Linked DNA regions of Caenorhabditis elegans. The protein of the gene in region 1 purifies or fractionates together with the protein of each later gene. This does not show direct contact. Each region holds a gene or a part of one and is shown on either strand. Other genes may lie near its edges. The genes, in order: let-711 and ccr-4.

What was found.
Region 2: the proteins of let-711 (region 1) and ccr-4 purify together in Caenorhabditis elegans (affinity purification with western blotting, with the first as the bait; one study listed by BioGRID). This does not show direct contact.

Annotation. Positions count from the first base shown.
Region 1 is NC_003281.10:6,944,931-6,949,993, forward strand, and holds the start of let-711 (CCR4-NOT transcription complex subunit let-711), read left to right. Parts: upstream 1-1,787; 5' UTR 1,788-1,834; coding exon 1,835-1,931; intron 1,932-2,074; coding exon 2,075-2,202; intron 2,203-2,255; coding exon 2,256-2,402; intron 2,403-2,473; coding exon 2,474-2,632; intron 2,633-4,151; coding exon 4,152-4,278; intron 4,279-4,333; coding exon 4,334-4,497; intron 4,498-4,554; coding exon 4,555-4,846; intron 4,847-4,889; coding exon 4,890-4,980; intron 4,981-5,028; coding exon 5,029-5,063. Other genes in the region: abu-13 (Activated in Blocked Unfolded protein response), read right to left, coding at 323-717. UniProt on the Caenorhabditis elegans protein: Scaffolding component of the CCR4-NOT complex which is one of the major cellular mRNA deadenylases and is linked to various cellular processes including bulk mRNA degradation, miRNA-mediated repression, translational repression during translational initiation and general transcription regulation.
Region 2 is NC_003282.8:12,363,421-12,371,412, forward strand, and holds the start of ccr-4 (poly(A)-specific ribonuclease), read left to right. Parts: upstream 1-1,853; 5' UTR 1,854-2,124; coding exon 2,125-2,920; intron 2,921-4,974; coding exon 4,975-5,043; intron 5,044-5,363; coding exon 5,364-5,828; intron 5,829-5,877; coding exon 5,878-6,405; intron 6,406-7,030; coding exon 7,031-7,206; 3' UTR 7,207-7,992.

The DNA.
Region 1 (5,063 bases):
TTTGAAGATAACGCTAAAAACTGGGCATTTTAAATGTTGAAATGAACAAACAAGTATAAATGAACTAACAAGTGAAATGAACTAACAAGTAAAATTGAAATGAACTAACAAGTATATTATGAGTTGTGAAACCTGAAACTAATTTCCACTCATAGTACAATAATAGCCTAGAATGGGAAATCTCGCTTTTGGAAATGAAGTTTTTTTATTTGAAATAATAGTAAAAACTATTTTGTTGATCGGTAAAAGATCAAACTGAACAATTTCCAATTTTCCATTTCTTATGCGCAACTCGCTTACGAATGTCATTTCAATCACAAACCTTGGTGGAACAAATGGAGCTGGAGTACTTGGTGGTGGGAAGACCAATGGTGGATGAGTTGGGAATGTGAATGGAGCATGAGTTGGAAGGGTAAATGGAGCCAATGTTGGATGGCTTGGAAGAGTGAATGGAGCAACTGTTGGAAGAGTTGGGAAGGTGAATGGAGCTGGTGTGACAGCAGCTTGTGGTGCTACTGGAACAGCATTTGGAAGCTGTGGCGCGGCAACTGCTGGTGGCTTCTGATCAGCGGTTTGCACAAAAAGTGGGGCTCCCTGAGCTTGAGCAGCGACACCAACTGGCTCACCACCTAGCTGAGCTGGTAGGTCAAAAATAGTGTTTTGAAAGGTGTTCTGCGCTAGAGCCACAGAGGGCAGAAGAGCTATCAGGAGCCACATCACTGGAATTTTGAAATCGAAGAAGAACTGAGATTTGAGGTTCAGCTTCTTCTTTTTCTTGCGATTCTGGAGAAAAGAATAGAAGATCTGGATGTTTTAGAGACGCAGAGAACTGGTGCGGAACGGGTTTTTAGCTTTGTCATCCGAAAATAGTATGAATAGACGAAGAGCGTCAGACATGAGATCGTTTATGTTCCATGTCCAGAACCATCAACACCGCCTCCTTCTTCACCCATCGTTTTCCCTACAACCACGATTTTTATCTTTTCTTTTCTTTTCTTTTGTAAGCAACAAGAGAGAGAAAAGAGGAAAATCCGTGCGTACGGATTGCCTTAGAAATTGAAACAGCGAGAAGTTTGACAGGGTGGTGACATCTGATGAACGATTTATGGGATTGTACTTTATTTTTTATCGAACGGGAATTAGTTGTCAGGGGAGGCATTCAAATGTGACAGTATTTCAGATAATCCACAATTCAAAGTTAAACTATTACACAGATACGAAATTTTGCCGATTCACAGTACCCTGTCTCGACACGCCCAAATATGTTTTAATTTAAAAAAAATGGAGTACTCAAAACAGAGCATATGTCATCCAAATATTATATTCCCAGATGAATAATTTTGAGAATGTGGCCACAAAAATACGGTAACCAAGAAGCAAAATTGAAATATAATAAAACGTTCACAGGAAAAATTACAATTTCTTAAAAACGGATATTTTTCAACATTTTCGAAGTACATGCGCATGTTTTTTGTATGATTGTGATTTGGTCAACTGCTATAAAGTTATAAAATTTATGGTGCACATTTTTTTTATAACTTTCGACACATTTCATGGATCGGTGCTCATTTTCTCACAGCTGCAGCTGTCGATCCTCCATTCTGCTGTACACTAAACAACACGCGCCTCGGAATTTCGGAGTGTCGTTTACAAACTAGAATTAAAACGGAACGGATCTTGGCACGGCGCCAATCTTTCAATATTTTTAACTGTTTCTTCACATAGTTTTATTTGATCTTTAAAAAATGCGCTTCACAAAAATTAGCGCGAGTTTTAAGTTTTCAAACTTTTTAATTCGTTTTTTCCTCATTTTTCGCCCCATTCGTTGTTGAAAATGCATTCAACTTCAGGGTTGGCCCCCGTTTTTCGTGTGGAGGAAAATCATATGATTCGGAATCGAGAGAATTTGGAGAGACCTATCTCCAAAAAAGGTGAGTATTTTTTAAGCTAATATAAAAATATGTAATTTGTTCTTCAAGAAACGATTTATGATTTTTTTTAATGAAGGGAAATTATTTATTGAAGCTGTTTTATAAATTTCACAATGTTGTTGAAATCTTTGAAAAATTTGCAGGCACCATCACGCTTTTGTCGAAAATGCCGATGGGATTCGTGTTGAATAGTTGCTCTTGTGCTTATATCGACAATCTTCTTGCTCATAGCAGTATTCATCGTGTGAAACCTCACTCGTTCATGATTCAGGTAGGATAATCGAATGAAAACTAAAATTTTGGGAGGAAAAAGCTATTTTTCAGCGTCTCGTAGTCATTTGTGGTCGTTCATCACCATCATTGCCAAATCATGCAGCCAATATCATTCTCTCTGCATTCAATTTCTGTCAAATCGAAGCACCGGCGAAAAAGTTTCTTGAAGAAGACGCTGCCCTTAGTCTTTTTCACACTGTAAGCGCTTTTTTTTTGGAGTTTTGAAGCTTTCTTTACATAGTGTTTATTCAAAAATATTTCGTTTCTAGATACTCTCCTATTCGACAGTTACACAAATTAATCGAAGCGGAATAGAGATTCTTGGAGCTCAACGTCTCACTTCGGCTCTCTGTGATTTGATTTATGCATACACGAAGACCATGGATGATATGGTTGCCAGCAAGACATTGACCCATTTGTGCAAGAAAGTGAGTTTTTATTTTTAAATTTTCAAAATTTCCTACTAAAGCTATCCCCTTGAAAATAATATAAACTCCATTTTCTGGGAAGTTGAAACTTTATTCAACCCAAGATAAACGTTAAAATTCGACTCGACAAAAGTAAATTTATAAGCATCTAGGTTCCAAAAATACTTTAGCCTTTCAAAAACTTTCTATAATTTTTATAATTTTCTGTTCAAGTTAGAAAAAAATTTTTAAACCATATTTAATTTATTTTTATTTTTCAAAAAGTGTATTTACCTAATTTCCATTCATAGACGGTTTTCAAAGTGATATAAAAATCTTGAATCTAAATATTTAGTTTCAAGTAATTTTTTCGATCCTTAATTCTTCCCAATTTTGCACTCTCTCCTATTTTTTCTTTTTCCCAACGTATGATTCTTCGAGTGAAAATACAAATAATCACTTCTCGCCCGTGCCGGACAATAACGACAAGACGCAGAATGCGAAAAGTGCTGTAACATTAACATTTGATCGTCGTGGTCACACACAGACAGAGAGAAAAAGAAAGAAAGACTAAGAGGAGATGGACTTTAGGAACGGACGGTCCTCTGTTAGCTTACGGGAACATTGAAAGAGAGCACGAGATTAAGAGAGACACAGATATATAAAGAAAGTTCACGGGATGAGAACTCTCTTGAGAAGGCACACACACATATACACAATATCACATTTTTCTCTCTTTCTTCAAATCTCTAGGCCTTCTGGTCAATTGTTAGAAGTCCACTGGCCAGAGACTAATCCTTTATCATTTAATTCATATATTTATTTATATTAATTTAGGCCAAGACTAGGTTACTGTAGACTAGCGCCCAGATTTTCCAGACAATACAGTTTATTTGGTCTTGTTCTTGATCTTATCTCTTATCAAGCCTTTTCTAATTTACGATGAATCCCTTTAAAAGTAGATGAATGGTGTTATATTGGCGTCATATAACTATTACACATTTATTCAAACGACGCTTTTCTTTGACAGTTTCTCTGCTACTTGTCGATCTTTTCTCCTGCCATATTACTGGTGATAAAGCAGTTTTTCTTCAGAAAAAAATTGTTAAAAATAAAAGATTACTTTTAAATTATTTTTTAATTTTGCAAAAATAAAATTCAAATGATTTATTAGGACGCGCCCACTTTTTGAAGAGTTTCCTGTTTTTCGGCATATTTAACTGGGTTTTCTTGTTTTTTTTTTAAATATTTCTAATGTGACGTCTTTTTTGAAATTACAAATGAAAAACCAAGAAGTGACATTTTATTTTATTGGAAAACTTGAAAAAAGTGGGCGTGGCATAATCAGCCATTTGATTTTTTTCGTTGCAAAATTTGAAATATCATGAAAAATTGAGAATAATTTTCAAAATTATCATTAAGACCCAACAATTAGTCTTGCATGTAAGATTATTCTCAATTTTCTAAATAAATAAAATGCTAAATTAAAAATTGAATTTTGATTCTTTTTTCAAATTAATTATTTGATACTTTTTTGCAGCTAGCCGGTTTATTCGATCCTCTGGTGGTCCTTCCGTTTATCAGCAAGCTCGCCAAGAGCCGGCGTCTTCGTCACTATCTTCAGCCTTTGTTCCTTGGTCACTGTGAATATACATCTGATACGTGGGGTACTGTACCGTTTTTTTAAATTCAATTTTTTTTACATTACAAATAATTTTGAAGGCGTCTCTCCGGAAGGTGCTGAAATATACAATCAAATTGCACGTGGCAACTTCACAACACAAACTTTGATAGAAATAGTACAGACATTTCTGGAGAAAGAAGTGAAAGAAGTTATCATCAGTTCGACTACCGATCCAATCAAACTTGTACAATATCTGATATCGGTGAGAATAATTTATTATTTTTAAACCCTTAAATTTCCAAAAACAAAAAAATTACAGTGTTCCAACCCGGACAACACTGAAATTGTTCAAGCACTGGCCTTCCTTCTCTACTCGAATACTAAACTATTACCAGCTGGAAGTGGTGGGACAATTGACATGGATGTTCAGGCGGCTGATACGATTACAACTGCCCGGCTCGGTGATACAAAGTTCACTCAACCTGTGAAGGATGCATTGCTTGATTCTGGAAGAGAGGCTCTGCTCAGGCGAATGGAGATTTACGGAGTATCGCTGTTGTCTTCTGTTGAAAATTTTGTCACCGAATTGAAACAGGCACCAATTCAGAAAAGTTGGATTTTTAAAAAATTTACTTCATAATTGAGGATTTTCAGAAATGGTGACTAACAATTCAGTTGCAAATGCCATTTTATACATGCTTCAGTACAATTTTGACATGTCTCGAGATATTGAAAATGGAAGACAGTTAGTTTTTTCTAAAACAACATTTTCTGTAAGTAAAATTTCTTGCAGGGATAATTCGCCGTTTTGGGGTGGTAGCAATTTTG
Region 2 (7,992 bases), on another chromosome or scaffold:
CGGTGGCACTTATTTTCATCGATTCTACAAAATGATCTAAACTTTGATGCTCCAACATTTTTCATTCAAAATTAGTGTCAAAAGATAGAAAATCATTCAGTTTATCTGAAAATAATATTTATTTCACCTGAAACATTTATGAAAATGCTCAAGAATTACCTGAAAGTGGCAAATTACCGGAAAAAAATTCGATGAATCGATACGACCATTTTGATTAATTTCCTGAATGTTCCAGCAGAAATTTTTTTTTTCAGAAAAAAATTTTTTTTTTTAAATATTTTGACACTAATTTCAAATAAAAATTGTTGGAGAACATGGGGCAGTAGGACATTTTGTAGAATTGCAAAAAAAAAGATTACCAAAAAACAAATCAGCATAATAAATATTATATTCTTTTATTCTTCATCTAAAATCTTCTTGAAAAATCCAATTTCATACCAAAAACCCATTTTTCAGTTGACAAATCTGACAATGCTCGACATATCGAACAACAAGCTCCGCTCACTTCCCACAGAACTTGGTGATATGATCAGTCTTTGTCATCTGTACCTGAACAATAATCAACTCCGTGTGCTGCCCTATGAGCTGGGAAAGCTTTTCCGGATTCAGACGCTCGGTCTGCAAGGAAATCCTTTGTCGCCGGAAATCAGCAAGATCTATCACGAGACCAACGGTGCGCAAAAGATATTGCAATTTCTACTCGATCACCTGACTAGTAAGTTTACTTTTTTACTTTTTGCTGTCAAAAAATAAGCGTTCGGTCTAGTGTTTGGAGCATAAAAACAAGATGCATCGTTCATCAAAGATTCCCGACGTCGACCTAGAATATATGATTTGAATTGACGTGCTTTTCCCTCCTGAATGTCTGACACATCTCAACTTTCACTTGTATCCCCCGAATGACGTAATAGTAGATAATTCTGCATTTCTTATAGTTTATTCACAATTCCCTCACTTGATTAGACAGAGAGGATGTTCGTTATCACTATTATCCGTGTTAGTTTGATTTCCCATGCCACAAACTACTTTCTCTTTCGGGGCATGTTTCTTCTTTCAAGTTGTGAAAGTGGTCATGAAAAAAGCATTGCCATACCAATACTTGAAGGGTGTTCGTGTTCATAATCGTAATCGAATCAGTAGAAAAAGTAACAGTGTAAACCGAGAAAATGGTGTTGAAAAATAATGCAGACAAGTTTTTAACTGGTTTCGTATATTTAAAAAATAGGTTCACAATATCATATAGTACGAAAACCAGTAGGAAACAAAATTGTAATAGGCTCGTAATAATTTATTATGCAGTACTATATGATTTTTGTGACACTACCAACGAAATGGCTCATATTTCCAAGAGAAAAAAGTGTTACCTGAAAATTAGAAGAACGAAACTAATTTTCATTAAAATGAAATAACTTACTCTAATAGTAAGTAATTCATTTTTTCATTCCGAAGAACACTTATCTCTTAAAACCTCCACGCAAATCTCGACATATCATGTTTAATGTGCCGGTGTGTCCAGCCATTCATCCAGTGTACATGAAAACGTTCTAAAAAAGAAGCGGCACACGAGTGTGAGAGATAAACCATAGAGACGCAGCAATGGTGGCGCAGTGACCACCACCGCCATACGTATACACGGTTTTTAGTTCGACGCTCGTCTGCGACTCATCGTCTCTAGCACTATTTAGCTCTTCGCTTATGATCATCTGTTCTTCTTACGTCCCCCGAGTCCTCCTCATATTCGCCTCGTTTTTTTCTACACGGCTTCTTCTTTCTCTGCCGTTCGTCGTTGCGAGGAAGGATCGAACAGTCTCCGCCCATTTCGGAAAAGTGTCTTCCCTCGTTGTATACGCCCTCCCCTTCGTGTGTTTGTGTCTCTGCAGCAGCCGGCGGCAGAAGCACATTGCATGAGTTTTAAACGGGAACAAGGCTCCGCCCTGACTAGCTTCCCATTTTGAGAGTATTCCCCCATTCTGCCTTTCACCAACGTCCTTTTCTTTTTACATCATATATTCCACCTGCTTTCCCTTTTCTTACTCCATTTCTCTTTTTTCATCCTTTAAACGTGCACCAACTCTGGCCATCCAAACTTACTATTCGAAAATGTACTGAAGTTCCCTCTGAAATATGGCCGACAGTGGAGACGGCGAATCGCCATCGAGAAGAAACTCCAGTGGAAAAAGATTTGTGAGACGAGCCAGAAGATGGGCTGAGCTGCTACAAAAACGACAAGGACGTCGAAATTGTGAGGAGAGCGAAAATCTATCAGCTCCGATAGATGCAAATTTTCAACAAGCTCATAAACATACAGCATTCAATAATCCATCGTCGCATAATCGAAATGGAATCAAGGATCAGAAGTATAGACCACCAGAGCCACCGCATGTTTATGATTATGTTGAAATGGCTGCTTTAGGAAGTGGTGTGATGGTTGTAGATGATGATCTTAATTATGAATTTCTGACACATGATGAATCCCGTCAAAAACAACATTTGGGACACACTCGAAGCTTCCCAATTACTATACTTCAATCAAGAAAACATGAGATTTCATCTGGATTATCACCAGCTTACGGATACAATACTCATCAAACTTGCCAACGAACCATATCGGATGCATACCATTATCAGGCTTATCATCAACCATCATATTCCAATCACCACACTTCTTGGTACGAGTATCAACAACCGTCAAATGCATCATTTATGAAACCGGTAGACAGTGCTCTCACACTGATAACCAATGATCTCTCTATGGCAAGTATCTCGGAAGCATCTACAACATCGCCGAGTTCGATCTCGAATAATTCTGAAGAAGATGTTTCACCACACTTTTTGAAAATGTCTTCTTCATTTCCAAAATCTTCAAGCTTCCCCTATCGAACAATGTCTGAGTCCCAATGTTTTCCATTCAATTTTCATGGTAAGTACGTGTTCATTCCCAAAGTTCAATAGGATTCAGCTAGTGAAAGTTGTATTCACTTGAGACAAATTTTACTACTATCTCACCACAATATTCATAAAGCTTAATCTTCTCTTCCTTCTGTTTCTTTTCTCCGATAGTTTTTTTCCAGATTGCTATCGTAAACATGTTCTGTTTTCACTTATCTATAGACAGTTCACTTAGATTGGCGGTTTTTTAGCTTTGACAAGCGTGACTGAAATAAAATTGTTACGAGCAATTGTGATTATAAAATATTCAGGTTGAATCTTGAGTTTGTTGGATTCCTAATTAAATTGTAAAATTTTAATCTCGAAATTTCCATCTATTCGATCTCTCTCCATATGTCTTCTACCTGAATCTCAGCTTCAGCTTCATCTTTTTCGCCGTTATCTCTGCGCATCTTTGGCATTGAAAAGTACGATCGGTCGATGGTGATTACGCCATATTTTGACGTAAGAGTGAGAGAGAAAGAGAAGCGGACGACAAAGAAGATATGGGGCGAACGTGTACGTTTATTTGTAGCATAATGGCAGGAAAAGGATGGCAATGGCAACGGTGTGTGTGTGTATGAGTGTGGACATCACGGCTTGACGGTAGTGATGGTGTGTGTATGTCTTAAGCGTTAACAAGTTTTTGTCGCCATTTTCGGACGGTGTCACATCCTTCCACATCTTCAGTGTGAATATGGTTGGCAGTTTAGAGACATTGGAAAGTCGGATTGTTTTGGTATCACTGATTGCGCGAGGACTGGCAGGAAGTGATATTAGAATGGATAAGCATTGACCAGGTGATTTGTGAGACACTGGAAGCTGTTTTCTGAGATAATTAGGAAAAATCTGATAGAAATGTTTGCAATGTTTCTTGATTTTCTCCGAAACAATAATCTAATAAATCGCAGTTTTTCTAATTACGGAGCACAGACATGTTCGAAGCATCGAAACAATGCACAAAAACGTGTTATTTACAAATGATCCTTTCACTCTCTCTTGAAGTGTGTTCTTCTCCCCCTTCGGATCACCAGCTCACCACCATCTATCCCAACAGGCAAAGAGAACACACCGTGTTTTGACGACGGTGAGAAGAGTGTTTTGGGTTGCCCTCCGGTGCACGATATGTTTACACACGGTTTCGAGCCGTCCGAGTCGATGGATGGATGAGGCCACCGGGTGGTGACGGCGCGTAGAACAAATTGGTCGTTTGAACATGGCGCTTGTGTCTGGGAATTTTTGTATGGAAAGATCAAATATAGAGCCTCTAATTTTCCACTTTGCAAAAACCTGAATATGAACAAAAAGAAACTAGTGAGGGATTTCAAATTACTGTAAAAAGTCAACTCCTCTTTTGATTATCCATATCCTCAGTTCATTTTGGATTTCCGTCGGTTTAGAAAACTGAAAATGAGAATAGAAAAAGATGAATAGGGAGAGTGCACTTGACACATTTCAATATTGGCGGCCTCTTCATCTTCAGTCCCGTTGATCGAACAATAAATTAAAATGGCACAGATGGTTATGCTGGTAATAAGTGTTTGAAAGAATTGAATAAGGGAAATCAGATAAAGAAGTTTTGAGTTCATAGTTTAGAGAAGCATTATTCATCCAAGTTTCAAGTTTCATAGAACCAATAAAAAATCACAATATGGCCGATATAATACTAGTGACCGCCCTTTTCACTTCTCCCGTATGTATCTTCGATGAATCCGCTCAACTAGTCATATTGTTTTTTTTTTGTCGCTTTCTGTGAGCGGTCATGAATAATTGCGAGTCGTTCATCGTCTTCTTCTTCTTTTTTTATATTCTTTCTCTTTTTCTACGCTTCGTTCTTTGTCACGAACGTTTACATAAAGAGACAGGGGGACGACGACATCTCTGAACGTATAATATTTGCCTCAAAAAGGAAATCGAGTGGGATTGAACACAGTAAAGCCCTAGGATGTCTAGTTAGGCCATCATAAAACGAAACGGAAATTGCCGGGGAAAATGTGAATATATTTTTGATGAAAAGGGAACTCTGTACAAACTATGAAATTTCAGTTAACACTCATCCTCCACCGGAACGAAACTGGGTAATGATCCGACATGCAGATCCGGAACGACCAATTGGTGAGTGAAAAAATATCAGAAGCATTGTTGAGCAGAAATTTCTTTGGAATTCATTTAAAAAAAAGCAGAGCAATATTTTTACTTTCTGAAAATAACCTTACTTTGAAATGAAATTCTGTAAAGTTGCTCAAAAACTGATTTATATTTGAGTCGGTTTTTGAGAAATTTGTAAAAAATTTAGAGCGATAGAGAAGTTATTATTCGAAAGTACGAATATTTCTATATAATTTTCCAAAAAGAAAAATGTGCCTCACATCTCTGATGCTGAATTTTCATTCAATTTATAATTTTTGTAGTACAATTAAATATTTAATTTTCAGCCACATTCACCGTTCTCTGCTACAATGTGCTGTGTGACAAGTACGCTACGGTCAATCAATATTCGTACTGTCCTTCCTGGGCTCTCAACTGGGAATACCGAAAAGGGCTCATCATAAAAGAGATCCGAACCTACGAAGCAGATGTGATCACGCTGCAAGAAGTTGAAACGGAACAATTCCGAACACTTTTCCAACCTGAACTCAAGCAACTTGGTTATGCTGGCATCTTTGAAGCCAAATCGCGTGCCAAGACAATGGGAGAAGAGGAACGAAAGTATGTGGATGGATGTGCAATCTTTTGGAAAGTTGACAAGTTTGATATGGACAAGCAATATCTGTTTGAATTTTCAAGTGTGGCGATGAAGAAGGCGTCTACGAGTGAGAATATGCTCAATCGTGTCATGCCAAGAGATAATATTGGATTGTGCGCTGTGCTGAAGATCAAGGAAAGCGTTTACGCTAACAGTGAGTTTTTTTTCTAAATTAAAAAAAAAACATTTGTTTTTTTTTGCAGAATTCCTGGGACGGATGCAAATTCCAATGAATGACAACGTGGTCGGAAATCCTCTTGTCGTCGCGACCGCTCATATTCATTGGGATCCTGAATTCTGTGATGTCAAATTGGTACAATCAATGATGCTTACTCATGAAGTATCAAGAGTACTCGAAGAAGTATCAAAGAAATATCAGATCACGCAACAACAAGTTCCAGTTCTCATATGTGGTGATTTCAATTCCCTTCCGGATTCTGGTGTCTTTGAATATCTTTCCAAAGGACAAATAACACGTCGTCATATGGATTTGAAGTCGTTCCGTGATGATTCTTGTCTTGAAAAGTTCACCAACTCGACGGACAAGAATGTGATCAGTCATCCCTTGAGGCTTGACTCGGCTTGTGACATTAATTCGATACCATTCACAAACTACACATTAGATTTCAAAGGAATGATTGATTACATTTTCGCAACACCACAGTCACTCGCGAGACTTGGAATACTTGGACCATTTGACCCACAGTGGGTTCAGTCGAATAAGATTCTTGGTGAGAAAATATACTTTTTTAAAAATAGTTCTCGATTTTTTGCTTGTTTAGATAAACTTAAAAACCGCCCAAATTAACGAATTTTGCAATGAGTCTTCTTTAAAAAAAAGTTTCTACGACGGTTCAAATTTTCTTTTAAAAAATGAGCTGATTTTTGCTAAAATCTCCAATTTTACTATTTTTTTATGTCACAGTGCTCCGTAATTAACTTTTATTTGATGATCATCCTTTATTGCATAGTTTAGTCGTTTGTCTCAAATTAGCGAAAACTACAGTAATTCTATAAATGACTACTGTATGTCTCGTGTCGATTTACGCTAATCATTTATTAATCTATAAAATATAAAAAGAAAACACAAAAATGGAAAAAAAAAACTAAAAATTAGAGGACAATTTAACATCGAAATTATTTTCCGACCGCTGCGACTCGAAAAAGTATCCAACATTGGAGTTTTAGCTAAAATTTGCCTTTTTCAAATATTGAAATCGACATAAAAATTGTTTAAACATTTTTTGAAAACTTTAATTTTGAAATTCGTTTATTCATGCGCATTCTGAGTATAATAATGCAAACAAATTTATCGGAAGTTCTCTTTTAAAAGTTTTCTAATTTCCTGTTTTCCAGGATTCCCTCATCCACATGTAGCATCTGATCATATTCCAATTATGGCTCAATATGCAATCATACCAACAACACATCAACGACAGCAACCACTTCAACAGGCTGGTCCTGCAGCTGGTGTAATTGGAGGAGGATTTCCATCAACACCTTCAGGAGCCCAACCATTCCTGAGGTGCTGACCCCATCATCATCTGCAATGTTCTTCAATTCGTGTACAACTGGCTCTCCCTCTCTTCCCTCACCATTCTGTCTCATACCTCAATTTGTGTGCTCTTGTATCTGCCCCACTCTCTCCCTCTCTTCATATAAAAAACTTACGTAGAGTCCTTCGTAATTACGATTGATAACTCGTTTGAATTGTGATATATTTGAATTATGTTCCATCGCCGCGCATTTTCATACTTTTCTTTTGTTCCTACGAGTTCTCCCTCTTCCCTCGATCCGACCCTTTTATTTCCCTCACTTCATTTCTTATCTGTTAGTTTTTCTTTTTCTCCTTTTGATCAGTTTTATTGAGTATATTTTGGTAGCCCCTGGGGTGTTCGATTCTTTTTATTCCACTCAAAACATTTTCATATTTTTTCCGTTTTTTCGATTGTCTTCGATTTCTTCATGGAAGAGTCTATTTTTCCATTCTATTCCATTTAGTCCCCCTCTCGTCTCTTTTTCTTCTCTTTGTAGTAGATCCCCTCTGTTTCGTGACTCGTATACTGAGGGTTTCACGGCGAAATGGTCTCGCAACGATCGGTTACGGTGTAGGTGTGCAGTGTGAGAGGAGGGAGAGAGTGTACGAGAACGTGAGGCGCAGATTACTTTCAGTTTGAAAAAAATAATGAAATCTCGTTATTTGTGCAATTCGATCTAGCTTTTTGCTCCCGACACGCTTCTTTTCATTCATGAAATGTGTTCGAAAAGAAATGTCGGAAGCGATCAGATCGAACATGCAAGATTACTGAGATTGAATT